3 linked regions of the Canis lupus familiaris genome follow. The protein of the gene in region 1 interacts with the protein of each later gene in a biochemical or structural test. Links are inferred from orthologs where the notes say so. Each region holds a gene or a part of one and is shown in the gene's direction. Other genes may lie near its edges. The genes, in order: RAB11FIP3, ARF5 and ARF6.

Region 1 (3,518 bases):
GAAGGGGTTTTGTTTTAGAATGGAGCCGATGGGCTGCACCTGTTTCCTCCGAGCACCTGAGCAGGAAGGAACAGGTGTGTGGCCACGTCCCCCACTGCTCCAGCCAGTCCTGAGGTGGCGCTGAGGGAGGTGGGCTCCCAGCGGTCCGGAGGAAGAGCCAGCGTCTCCCGTAGCCAGGGCCCATCCACGGGGTCGCAGATAACCTGGTGGGTCCTCCCTGTCTCCTGAACTGACGCTTCTCGTCTCTCTAGCACCGACCCGCTTGCTGCAAAGCTGCACAGCATCCTCACTGATGAGGCTTTTGAGTTTTACTGTAGCCAGTGCCACAAACAAATCAACCGCCTCGAGGATCTTTCCGCTCGTCTGAGTGACCTTGAAAAGAATAGGTAACTGGCTAGTGCCTGGCCTTGCTGTTCGTCCAGCGGGAGGGACGCTCGCCCCCTGCCCCGCATGCGCCAAGCCTGTGTCGGGTGCCCTCTGCCCCTGCTGTGTGCATGCCTCCATCTGAGCCACTGCCGCCGACCCCGGGTGGAAACAGCCTTCACACGCTGTGGGTCCTGCATGGGGAAGTCCGTGTGAGGCAAAGTCTGCACCTAGAAAGAGCAGCCTTCCTCATTTTACTAAAGGAGTCACATGAGAGGGCTTTGTGAAATGTAAAGTAAGCTTCGTCTTTAAAAACAGATCTGGGTCCAAGTCCCTGCTCCGCTGGTTGGGTATACTTGGACCCCCCCCCCCAAAAAAAAAAAAAACAGATCTGGAGGGGCGTCTGGGTGGCTCTGTCCCTTGGGCCTCTGACTGCTGATTTTGGTTCAGGTCGTGACCTCAGGGTTGTGGGATCAAGCCCCACGTCAGGCTCCACACTTGGCGTGGACTCTGCTGGGATCCCCCCACACCCCCTCCTCATGATCTCTTGCTCTAAAAAACAAAAACAAAAACAAAAAAACCCCACACATTTGTAAAGAGCTTCCAGGAGTCTGTTTAAATCAGGTGAGCCTTCCCTTGGACCTTTTTTTTTTAAGATTTTTTTTTATTTCTAAGTATTCTCTGCCCCCAACATGGGGCTCAGATCCACAACCCCGAGATCAAGAGTCCTGTGCTTCACCGACTGAGCCGGCCAGGTGTCCCCGCACTCAGTTCTGTGAGGCTGCCTCAGACCCTGTTACCACGATACCCACCTTTACTACCCTGGGGTCCAGCATGTGCCCGCCGCCCCGGCCTTGGTCCCCGTCCTGTCACTCGGTTCCCGTGTGCGTCCGTGTTTGCCTCCCTCTCCGTTCCCTGCACCAGCCTGCTTAGGCCAGAGCTCGGGGAGGAGACAGCCCTTTTGCTGGCTCCCCACGACTTGACAGTTGAAGAAAACGTGCTTGAGTAGCTTGTGCCTATGGGCATGTCCACTGAGCACGTGGTTGATGAAGCTTGTAGTGCAGGTAAGCCCCTGGGGTCCGTTGGTGGTTTCCCACAGCAGCACCCGCCTAGTGGACAGGGCGGGAAGGGGTGCTGTGGGCCCCAGGGCGGCTGTCTGCGGTGAGCTCTTGAAAGAAGGGGCCTCGGGCTGCTGCTGCTGGGAGGTAACATGAGTTGTGGTAGGAAGGAAGCCATCCTGGTCGGCAAGCTTGCAGGAGTAGTCCTCTAGAAACTGCTGCCTGGCCAAGCCAGGCCCTCCCGGTGGGTCCCCATGGCTGGCAGCCCTGTTGGACTGCTCACCTGCCTCTGGGTCCAATGCACCACATTCAGTATCTTCAACCTTTTTCTTTTTGCATTTTTTTTTTTTTTTTAAGATTTTATTTGAGAGTAAGAGAGCAAGCAAAAGAGCACGAGCAGGGGAGGGGGCAGAGGTCGAGGGAGCAGGAGCCCAGTGGGGCTTGATCGTGACTCTGAGACTGTGACCCCAGCTGAAGGCGCTTCACCGACGGGGCCCCCCAGGCGCCCCCAACCCGTTTTTTTTATGTTCTGTGCAGCACCCACCGCACAGACTGGAATCCAGCAAATGCCCAGTCGAGTGCAGAGGGATCTTTGTGGCCAGTCGGCCGCTTCAGAGCAGGGTCTGGGGGGAGGTCCCCACAGTTCTGCTGAGAACCTAGCCTTCCAGGGAGACTGGGGGGAAATGTGGCCTTTACTGACTCCCAACAGCTGCTGGCCTCTGTCGCAGGGAAAACTAGCCTTTCATCCTGTGTGTGTAGCTGGTGCCCAGAGCTCCAGGAAGGCCCCTCCACCTGGCTGGGGGTCACCTGTGCTCCCCGTGCAGAGGCTGCTGTCCTGCCTCCATGGGTTCCAGGCCAGGAGTGCCATCTCTGTATTTGATAGTAAACACAGAGACACGTATCTCATCTCTCATTATTTATGTATTCCTGAGACACAGAGAGAGGCAGAGACACAGGCAGAGGGAGAAGCAGGCTCCATGCAGGGAGCCCCACGTGGGACTCGATCCCAGGACCCCGGGGTCACACCCTGAGCTGAAGGCAGATGCTCCACCGCTGAGCTCTCCAGGGGTCCCTCATTCCTGGACACTTTAGAAGTGATCTTTTGCTGTGTTGACAGCCTGCTGCAGGACGGCCTCAGTCGCCTCTGCTGGGCCTTTTGAGGGGAGCCTGGGGCGCAGCTCAGTGTGGCTCCAAGTCCAGCCCCAGCCGTGCTCCAAGGAGGACCCTGTTGACATGGGCTCCTATGCCGTTAACACTGTTGCTGTAATCAAGACACAGCTGTCAGGAAATTTGTCCCAGACGCTGACGTTACGGAGATCTAGGTCTTGCTAGTTGGTTTCCCTGGAGTTGCCACAAAATAGATGTATTGGGTCATAGTTTGTGGACGGCAAAAGGTGATTCGGTCCCACCTGTATCTGGAAGCTTTGATGTTAAATCTATCGTCTCCCAGTGAACCTCAGAGCGTGCCTCTAGGGATCCTGCTTTTCAGGGACCCGGGAGCCTCCAGGAATACAAGTTGTTTTGTAGAAATTAACAAGAATATTAAGAAATGAAGAGTAATAGGTCTGTTTTCAAATTATAAACCCCCGAGGTGGCCTGGCCGGGCTGTCTGCACGGGGCCGACATGCACCCCGAGTCTGTCCTGTCCTGGTAGGGCCGGGAGTCCGGGGATGCTAGGATGCACAGTGTGGTGTCGCTCGGGGTCCTGCCAGGAGAGGGGAGCACACAGCAGTTTGAACCGGGGACCAAGCGATGAGGCGCGGTCTGCTCAGGGGAGGGAGCTCGCGACAACAGCAGCTTCAGGGAGCAGCCCGCCACCAGCACTCAGGGCAGGCTTGCCACGGACGCCCCTCGGCACCCCGCCAGCGGGGCTTGGTGGGTGCCTCCCCTCCAGACCCTGAGGCAGTCTGCTCTCTTGCTGCAGGAGGCCCCCCAGGAGGGGTGTCCACAGAGGCATCCGTGGCCCAAGGCTCGCAGAGCCCTGAGGGTGCCGCTGCTGCCGCTGGGCAGGGGTGGGGGAGGTTCTGGGGTGAGAGGGCCCACATGTAGCCGAGGGCCCGTGGACACGGGGTCCCTGTGGCCCCCTTGTACCCGGAG
Region 2 (4,079 bases), on another chromosome or scaffold:
ATTAGTTTCTTAGTGGCCCAGATAACATCCAGCTGCACCATACAGACATACAGATATATTATCATTTTAATCTTCACCATAACCTCATTAGATAGGGCAGATATTAGTTTCCTTCTGTAGAAAATAAATGAGTTGTGAGGATTGAAGCTAAACCCTCCAAAAGAGGGGGTGGGTGGGGACAGAACTGAGATTTGACTGAGACCTGGAACAATGGTCCATAGTGGGCATTCAATATTTGTTGAGTGACTGAATGAATAAAGGTTCTCTGACTCTCAGCTCCCCTCACCATGTCCAGTCCCTAAGCAATTGATCCTAGAAGCCTCCTGGCAATCCAGTTTCAAATTGCTTGTCCTTGCTCCACTGAGCAGCCTATTAGTCCATTCAAACCAGCAAGTACTGTATTTATTGAGCATATATTAGGTGCCTGGCACTGACCCACTCTCAACCATAGACACAATTTAAATTAATTCCTGTCTTGCTATTTCCCCCTTGGTTGCTGAGTGGGAAAATTACTTACGAAGCACTTTGAGTCTAAAGCCACAAGAGTTTCATAAATTCCTGGATAGGTGTGCATTAAAAATCCGGGTTCCCAGGTCTCTGGCAAAGTGAAGAAGCTTCAGAAAAGCTGCCTGGATCTACTGAAAAGCATTGTGCCCGGGGCCATCGACGCAAAGGCGTTGTTGTCCAGCATGCAGGACAACATGCTGATTGCAAAACCAAGAAGGCCAGCTAGCGCTTGGACACCCTTTTTCCACCACCTCTCTTTCTCACTCCTCTCGAGATTCTACAGTCACTTGAACTACCTGCAACGCTCAAAGCCCCTCTCTGGGCGCTGAGGGGCCAAAGCAGACTAAGACGCATCACAGAGCTTCCGCTCCCCTAGGAGGGTGGTGCATACAGTGGATGGTGCTAGTTCGCTAGAGCTAACTAAACCAGAAAGCAGGGTGGGCTGGACGCGACAAACCAAAGCCCGAGAGGCCGGCCACTTAAGCTGAGGGTCAGGGGCCGTTGGGGAGCATTGTAAACTTTCCTCGGCCCCGCTCGGGCTGCCGGTGAAGCAGCCACAGATCTGCCGGCCCTCGAGAAACGAGGGGAAACCCAGACCCTTCCCCTCTTTAAGCCTGCGCGGGACGCGGCGAGCAAGCGGAGACTCGCTGAGCTTCAGATTTAGCCCGAGCGGGAGCCTGGGGGCGGGGAAGGGGCGGGGCGGGGGCGGGGCCCGGCCGGGGGCGGGGCCGCGATGACGTAGGGCGGGCCGGGACGCGCGGAGGCGGCGGCGGAGCCTCCTCCTCCTGCTGCTGCGCCCCATCCCCCAGCGGCCGGCCGGTTCCAGCCCGCACCCCGCGTCCGAGCCCGCACCCCCTCCCCCGGGCCCCGCCATGGGCCTCACCGTGTCCGCGCTCTTTTCGCGGATCTTCGGGAAGAAGCAGATGCGGATCCTCATGGGTGAGGCAGATCAAGCGCGCGGCCCGGACCGGAGCGTCGGCCCCCGCGCAGCCCTCCCGCCCCCGCGTCCCTCCGAGCCCAGCTCAGCCGGGTCTCTGAACCCGAGTCACCCGCCGCCTAACCCCCCTGCGGTCACTGCTCTCGGGCGGGTCGCGATCTGCAGCGCCGACCCCGGGGCCTGAGCCCGGGAGCTGCGGGCCTGGGTGGGGTGAAGCTCCCTCCGCCCCAGCCAGGCTGGTAAGAAGGGAGGATTCCGCCCTTGGAGACGACTTTTAAGAGGAGCGCAGCCCTCCTCCTCGACCCCTTACCCCTACCCCTCTCCCGCCTCTCGCCCGCTTCGGGGCACGAGTTGGTGCTCACCACCCAGACTGCTCTCAAGGCCTCGAAGGTGGAGGACAGCGCGCACCTGCAGGCGCTAGGGCTCTCCGCCCCAGTCTCCATCAGCTGTCCTGGCCTCTCCCCTTCCCTGATCTCTAGAGGGCTCCCTCGCTCCCGTCTCCATCCCTATGCCCCTCTCCGTTGCAGTTGGCTTGGATGCAGCTGGCAAGACCACAATTCTGTACAAACTGAAGTTGGGGGAGATTGTCACCACCATCCCCACCATAGGTGAGTTCTGAGGCGAGGCGGGGAGGAGCGGGAGGCTGATGGGAGGCCGCCTCAGGGGCTGCTCCCCATTCTGCCTGAGGCCCTTATCTCCGTGCAGTGAGCTGACCCTGACACCAGACACTGCCACCTGAGAAGTGGGTCACAGTTACCTTTAGTTGCTGGATGGTGCCGAGGCAGGGTGAATGTGACCTAGCCCCGCCTGGTCTGTGGACTGCCGGTCCTCTGCGGTTCTGTTCCCATGGGACTTCGTCGTTGCCTTCTGGTTTTATATGTCTCTGATGAATCCACCCAGATTTAATGAGTTCCTTTCTTTCAGGACTTTGTTCTCATATTTTTTCCCCATTATCTCCAGGCTTCAATGTGGAAACAGTAGAATACAAGAACATTTGTTTCACAGTCTGGGACGTGGGAGGCCAGGACAAGATTCGGCCTCTGTGGCGGCACTACTTCCAGAACACTCAGGTGGGGTGGGGCTCCCCAACCCCCAGAGAAAAGGTGTTAGAGCTCCAAACCAAGATGTTGGCATAGGCCCCCAAGCCAGGAAAAAAAAAAAAAAACCTTAACCTCCTTCTGTTCTCATCTGTAGGCTTGCTTCTATTCATCCTTCAGAAATGGCCATAGTCTTCTGAGACTTAGCCACCTTATGCATCTCCTGAGAAGCAGGGATCTGAGGCCATGTGGCCTCGTTTATTTATTTATTTTTAAAGTAAGCTTTCACCCAATGTGGGCCTTGAACTCACAACTCCGAGATCAAGAGTTGTATGCTCTACTGACTGAGCCAGCTGGGTGCACTCATGCTGCCTCATTTAGCTCTGGTCTCATCTTTCCCTGTTCCCTTGCACTTCTTCTAGCTACACTGCTTGCCTGAGGGCAGAGTCTGTATCCTTCGCAGGGTGTCGCCAGTTTGTGCCAGCATGTCTGCAGAACCTTAGTGAAAATTTACTAGATGAGAAGGTTTAGACACAAAGATGGGGAAAAGAGAAAGAGCCAGACTAGGCTATGTCCCAGGTGAGAGTGATTGCTTGTCTTTTCTTCCTTCCCACCCAGGGCCTCATCTTCGTAGTGGACAGTAATGACCGAGAGCGGGTCCAGGAATCTGCTGATGAACTCCAGAAGATGGTGAGCACCCAGAGCCCTGGTTGCTGAGCCCTCGTTGGAGACAGATCTCTGAGATCTCTGTGCTAACATGAAAGTCAGGAAATAGCTTACAGGCTTTGAATGTCTCCCTTTGTGGATGCAGACACAAGGAGTATCTCACCCTGTTTTGAATTTGAGTTGGGTGAAAGGCATATGACTGACTTTTTCCTTGAATTTTCATGTCTTCATATCTGAGAAGTTGGTGGGGAAAGGAGGAATTATATGTGGTGGAGAGAAATATCATCTTACATTCTTGTTTTCCCATTTGGAAATGTCATTTTGACTAGGGCAAGTCATTAGAAAAAGGGTCTTTCTGGATATAAGTCCAAATGGCTCCAAGCTGATTTATGACTCTGTCTTGTGTTCAGCAGTAGACTACGCAGTATTACTTTTTTTTTTTCCCACAAATCTGGTAGGAGGTAGGAAAGGGTGCTCCCCTACACAGTGGGGAAGAGGAAGCCTGGAGACTCCGCTAGGACTCCAGACTCCATCCCCTTCACCTCCCTCAGCTGCAGGAGGATGAGCTGCGGGATGCGGTGCTGCTGGTGTTTGCCAACAAGCAGGACATGCCCAACGCCATGCCTGTGAGCGAGCTGACCGACAAGCTGGGGCTGCAGCATTTGCGCAGCCGCACGGTGAGGGTGCTCCCTCTCCCAAGGGAGCCACAGGCTGGGGCGGGAAGTCAGGGCATCCCCTTTTCTTCCTTGCTGCTGATCATTCTTTCCTTTTCCCCGCAGTGGTATGTTCAGGCCACCTGTGCCACCCAAGGCACAGGCTTGTATGATGGGCTCGACTGGCTGTCCCATGAGCTGTCAAAGCGCTAACCAACCAGGGGCCGGCCCCTGCTGCCCGGAAGCTCCCGCGTGCATCCCCGGGACAACCAGATTCCC
Region 3 (4,275 bases), on another chromosome or scaffold:
GGCAACACTTTGAACCCTAATCTTCTCACTCCAAAATCCTTCCTTCAGTTTTATGACAGTGGAAAGTAAGATGGATCAAGGCAGATGGAAAGTAAACTTGGATCAGTCAGAATATTAACAACTCCAGTAAGTTTATTTCAGCTGAAGCTTATAAGGTTATCACCTGACCCATCTACCATTATCAAATATTCTTATATTATGAAACAAGTATGTTATCATATGCTTCTATAGCATCTTCCTTAAAAAATAACAAACCCTATTTCCTGTTTTTCCTCCCCTTGGTTCCTTTATTTTAGGCTTCGCCTTACTTTAAGTCTAACTTGATCTCTAACTATTTGCTACAAAAAAGTTTCCGAAAGTCTTCCACAAACATTTTGTTATTTACTCTGAAACGGAGTACACAGAGCAAGGTCGGCACTACACTCGGTTTACACATGAGATAACAAACTTAGCAAGGTTAAATGCCTTAGATCCAGGTCACAAAAGTAGTCAGGCTTTCTGACTCTAAACCCTAGTGCTAAGATTATTATTGTCTGGGATTTTTAAAAAAATACTTTATTTATTTGTTCGTTCGAGAGAGAGAGAAAGAGAGAGAGAGAGAGAGAGAGAGGCAGAGACCCAGGCAGAGGGAGAAGCAGGCTCCACGCAGGGAGCGCAATGCGGGACTCGATCCCGGGTCTCCAGGGTCACGCCCTGGGCTGAAGGCAGGCGCTAAAGCGCTGGGCCGCCCAGGGATCCCCTCGTCTAGGATTCTTAAAGAAAAGCTAGGTGGTTAAGTTACTGCTCAACACACTAACTTAAGTATGAAAAGTTATCACCTTAAAAAGTTGAAAACGCAGCAAGGGACTGGAACTCTGGTTAACACTGTCATTTTTAAGTAACAGGGTCTGGTCCCGAAGAGATGTGTAAGACAGGGCTCGAACACCGAAAAGCGGGGTTTCCTGGCAAACCCAAGCCTGGTAGAAGCGCCGCACTGCTTGGCCGACTCCACACCAAACGCGGGCCTCCCACGTGTCTTTCAGGAAATGCACAGAACACGCGGGATGAGGGAGGCCAAGGACGGGCTGGGAGACGTACAAACAGCATATAGGGCTTTCCCGGGTGACTGAGGACGCGCGGAGGCTGGGGCGGGCCCAAGGGAACTCGCTGAGCACCTGGCGGGCACCGACGTCCGGAAGCAGCCTGGGGGAGGCTTTCACCGCGGGAGAGGGCTGGCCGCGGGCCCCGCCCTCGGGAGCTCCCCAGTGGATTTGCCTGCTCTGGTTCGAGAGGGCTGGGGGAGGCGAGAGCGCGCCACAGGGACGCAGAAAGTCCGCGTACAGCGCCAGGCGGGCACGGGTCAGAGTCCGAGTTTCGCGGGTCTGGGGCCTGACCGCAGCCGCGAGGCCTCCAGGCCGCCGTAGCCCCGCCCCCTCGCGCGTGGCGCCCATGACGCTGGGCGCGCGGGCCGCGCTCCTTACAGAGCTCGCTCTCACCGAACGGTCGGCCTTGCTGCGCCTGCGTGATCGGGAGGGGAAGTGAGGCGGTTTCTTCGGCGCCTTTTCCGGCGGCGGCGGCGGCGGCAGCGGCAGAGCTGGGAGGAGGCGGTGGAGGCCAGAGGGAGCCCGCGCTCAGGGCGGCGGCTTGAGGTAACCTCGCGAACTGAGCTGGAAGGACGAGTCACCTGGGCCTCCGCTCCCTTCTGGCCTGCCGGCAGTAACTCCCTTCTTCCTCTCTGTGTCTCTGCAGGCGGCGCACCGGATCCCGGCGAGGATCAATGACCTGACGAGGCGCCGGAGCCGCGCTGACTCTCGGGTGGCCTGGGTCGGTGGTGAGCCCGGTGCTCGTGGACCGGCGGGTGGGCCGGAGGGCTTCGACCTCCCGCGGCCGAGTGAAGAGAAGGCGGAGGAGCGGGAACCGCGGCGGCGCTAGCGCGGCGCTTGCGGGGGGAAGGGCAGTTCCGGGCCGGGCCGCGCCTCAGCAGGGCGGCGGCTCTCCCGGCGCAGACTCAGGGCCCCGGCGGCGGCGGCGGCTGGAGGAATCAAGTTGTGCGGTCGGTGATGCCCGAGTGAGTGGCGAGCCTGGGCCTCTGCCCCGAGGAGGCAACTCCCACGCAGGCCGCACGGGCGCCCTCGCGGCCGGGAGGCTTCGTTTCGGTTTCGCGGCGGCTGCGGCGTAGTTGGCTGAGGGGACCCGGGACACCTGAATGCCCCCGGCCCCGGCTCCTCCGACGCGATGGGGAAGGTGCTATCCAAGATCTTCGGGAACAAGGAAATGCGGATCCTCATGTTGGGCCTGGACGCGGCCGGCAAGACAACAATCCTGTACAAGTTGAAGCTGGGCCAGTCGGTGACCACCATTCCCACAGTGGGTTTCAACGTGGAGACCGTGACTTACAAAAACGTCAAGTTCAACGTATGGGATGTGGGCGGCCAGGACAAGATCCGGCCGCTCTGGCGGCATTACTACACCGGGACCCAGGGTCTGATCTTCGTAGTGGACTGCGCCGACCGCGACCGCATCGACGAGGCCCGCCAGGAGCTGCACCGCATTATCAATGACCGGGAGATGAGGGACGCCATAATCCTCATCTTCGCCAACAAACAGGACCTGCCTGATGCCATGAAACCCCACGAGATCCAGGAGAAACTGGGCCTGACCCGGATTCGGGACAGGAACTGGTATGTGCAGCCCTCCTGTGCCACCTCAGGGGATGGACTCTATGAGGGGCTCACATGGTTAACCTCTAACTACAAATCCTAATGAGCATTCTCCACCTATCCCCCGGAAGGAGAGAAATCAGAAACCCATTCATAGGATTATCGCCACCATCACCTCTTTCAATTGCCACTTTCTCTTCTTTTGAATTTGAACTCTGGAGTTACTGTTCTACGGTTGGGGAGGGGGGGGGGGTTTAGGGGTTTCCTTTTTTGTTTCTCTTTCTCCCCCCCCCCCCCCTTTTTTTTTGCTTTGCATTAGGATGCTCCGATCTGACATTTGACATGACCACAAAGTGCTAGATGCTCTTACTGACTTCCAGCAAATGGGATGGGGGAAATATAGCAGTTTTTGGTAAAGTCCTTTATAATAATGGTTTGATTTTTTTATTTCGAGAGAATCTTTTTTGCAATGTATGCTTTTTTCCTTTTTGCCCAGTTTCCTTATCACTTGCTGTAGATGGCTTATTTTGCATTCATGCAGACTATGTTGCAAGTCTGTTTCATCTAGTAAACTGAAAATTATTGCTTAATCAAACTGCCGTTTGTCTTTTATATTTAAGGCCTTTACTCCTCCCTTATGAGTTTTACCTTTAACTTAGTAATTTCAAATGTGACCTTTTATATCTAAGACCAGTATAGTAAACTTAGCCTACAGTGGCAAATAATGAGTAATATCATTGTAATATGTTCCAGTTGCACATCAGTATGTTAAACAGGTAATGTAAGAAGTTCTTTGAAATGTCAGCTATTAAGTTCTGAAACATACATCATGCATGAGTAGGGCTAAAACGCAAGTTCCTTATTACATAGCTAACTTACACTGCATAAAAAGATGAAAGTGTAACCCGTCAACAGATTTTTTTTCACTGCAAAAGTTAGCAACTTTGCTGTGTTTCCCTCTTTTTTAACTTTAAAAGTAGACTCTTTCCAGAAAATGGAGCAATAATGGTGTAGGCCACACACAGATGAGATATCTGTAGATATTTTCAGTGACATTGGGGCAAAACTGGAATATATACTTTTACCACATTTCAAATGTCTAAGACCAATACTTTAAAAGTTACTAGAATGTTTACTTTGTTCATTAATAAAAGCGTTTAACAATTCAAATTATACACATTTTCTACCTAGTTGAAAGAATACACATTCCTGTTTTCACATTAGAGCAACTGATTAAGCTGAAGATAGAAGTTTTTTTATAATTGAGTGATCCACATCTCCATTAATTAGAACACTGGAAAAGATGTTTTATAAAAAAGGTATTTAATTCTGTTTGATTGTAGGATTAACTCATACAAATAGATCTCCTGTTGGTTCATTAATACACTATCTCCTTTAAGGAAGGAAATGTGATGAATGAATGATGTGTAGACTTGAGAAATGACAATTAAAGGGGAAGTAGGATGAAGAAAGAACCTACAGATGACAATGAATGTAAACTTATTTTTCTTCAAGGGTAAGCAGTGTGCTCACTGGTGATATCCAGATCCTAGCAAGATTACTTGCTTAGCTTGTTAGGACCCGTAACTAGCTTATCGAGACCACTATGATGATACCTTGAACCAAATGTTAATGC

What was found.
Region 2: the proteins of RAB11FIP3 (region 1) and ARF5 form a complex in vitro, tested with the Homo sapiens proteins (2 studies listed by BioGRID). The link is inferred for Canis lupus familiaris from reciprocal best matches to the Homo sapiens genes RAB11FIP3 and ARF5.
Region 3: the proteins of RAB11FIP3 (region 1) and ARF6 form a complex in vitro, tested with the Homo sapiens proteins (2 studies listed by BioGRID). The link is inferred for Canis lupus familiaris from reciprocal best matches to the Homo sapiens genes RAB11FIP3 and ARF6.

What each region holds. Positions count from the first base shown.
Region 1 is NC_049227.1:40,503,536-40,507,053, reverse strand, and holds part of RAB11FIP3 (rab11 family-interacting protein 3), read left to right. Parts: intron 1-251; coding exon 252-386; intron 387-3,518. UniProt on the Homo sapiens protein: Downstream effector molecule for Rab11 GTPase which is involved in endocytic trafficking, cytokinesis and intracellular ciliogenesis by participating in membrane delivery. Recruited by Rab11 to endosomes where it links Rab11 to dynein motor complex.
Region 2 is NC_049235.1:8,598,622-8,602,700, reverse strand, and holds the start of ARF5 (ADP-ribosylation factor 5), read left to right. Parts: upstream 1-1,273; 5' UTR 1,274-1,379; coding exon 1,380-1,446; intron 1,447-1,971; coding exon 1,972-2,052; intron 2,053-2,404; coding exon 2,405-2,514; intron 2,515-3,099; coding exon 3,100-3,171; intron 3,172-3,698; coding exon 3,699-3,824; intron 3,825-3,926; coding exon 3,927-4,013; 3' UTR 4,014-4,079.
Region 3 is NC_049229.1:26,667,970-26,672,244, forward strand, and holds the start of ARF6 (ADP-ribosylation factor 6), read left to right. Parts: upstream 1-1,466; 5' UTR 1,467-1,628; exon of another isoform or gene 1,629-1,728; 5' UTR 1,729-2,214; coding exon 2,215-2,742; 3' UTR 2,743-4,275. Other genes in the region: uncharacterized protein LOC119876490, read right to left, coding at 819-1,430. UniProt on the Homo sapiens protein: GTP-binding protein involved in protein trafficking that regulates endocytic recycling and cytoskeleton remodeling. GTP-bound form plays an important role in the transport of multiple palmitoylated proteins form the Golgi to the plasma membrane.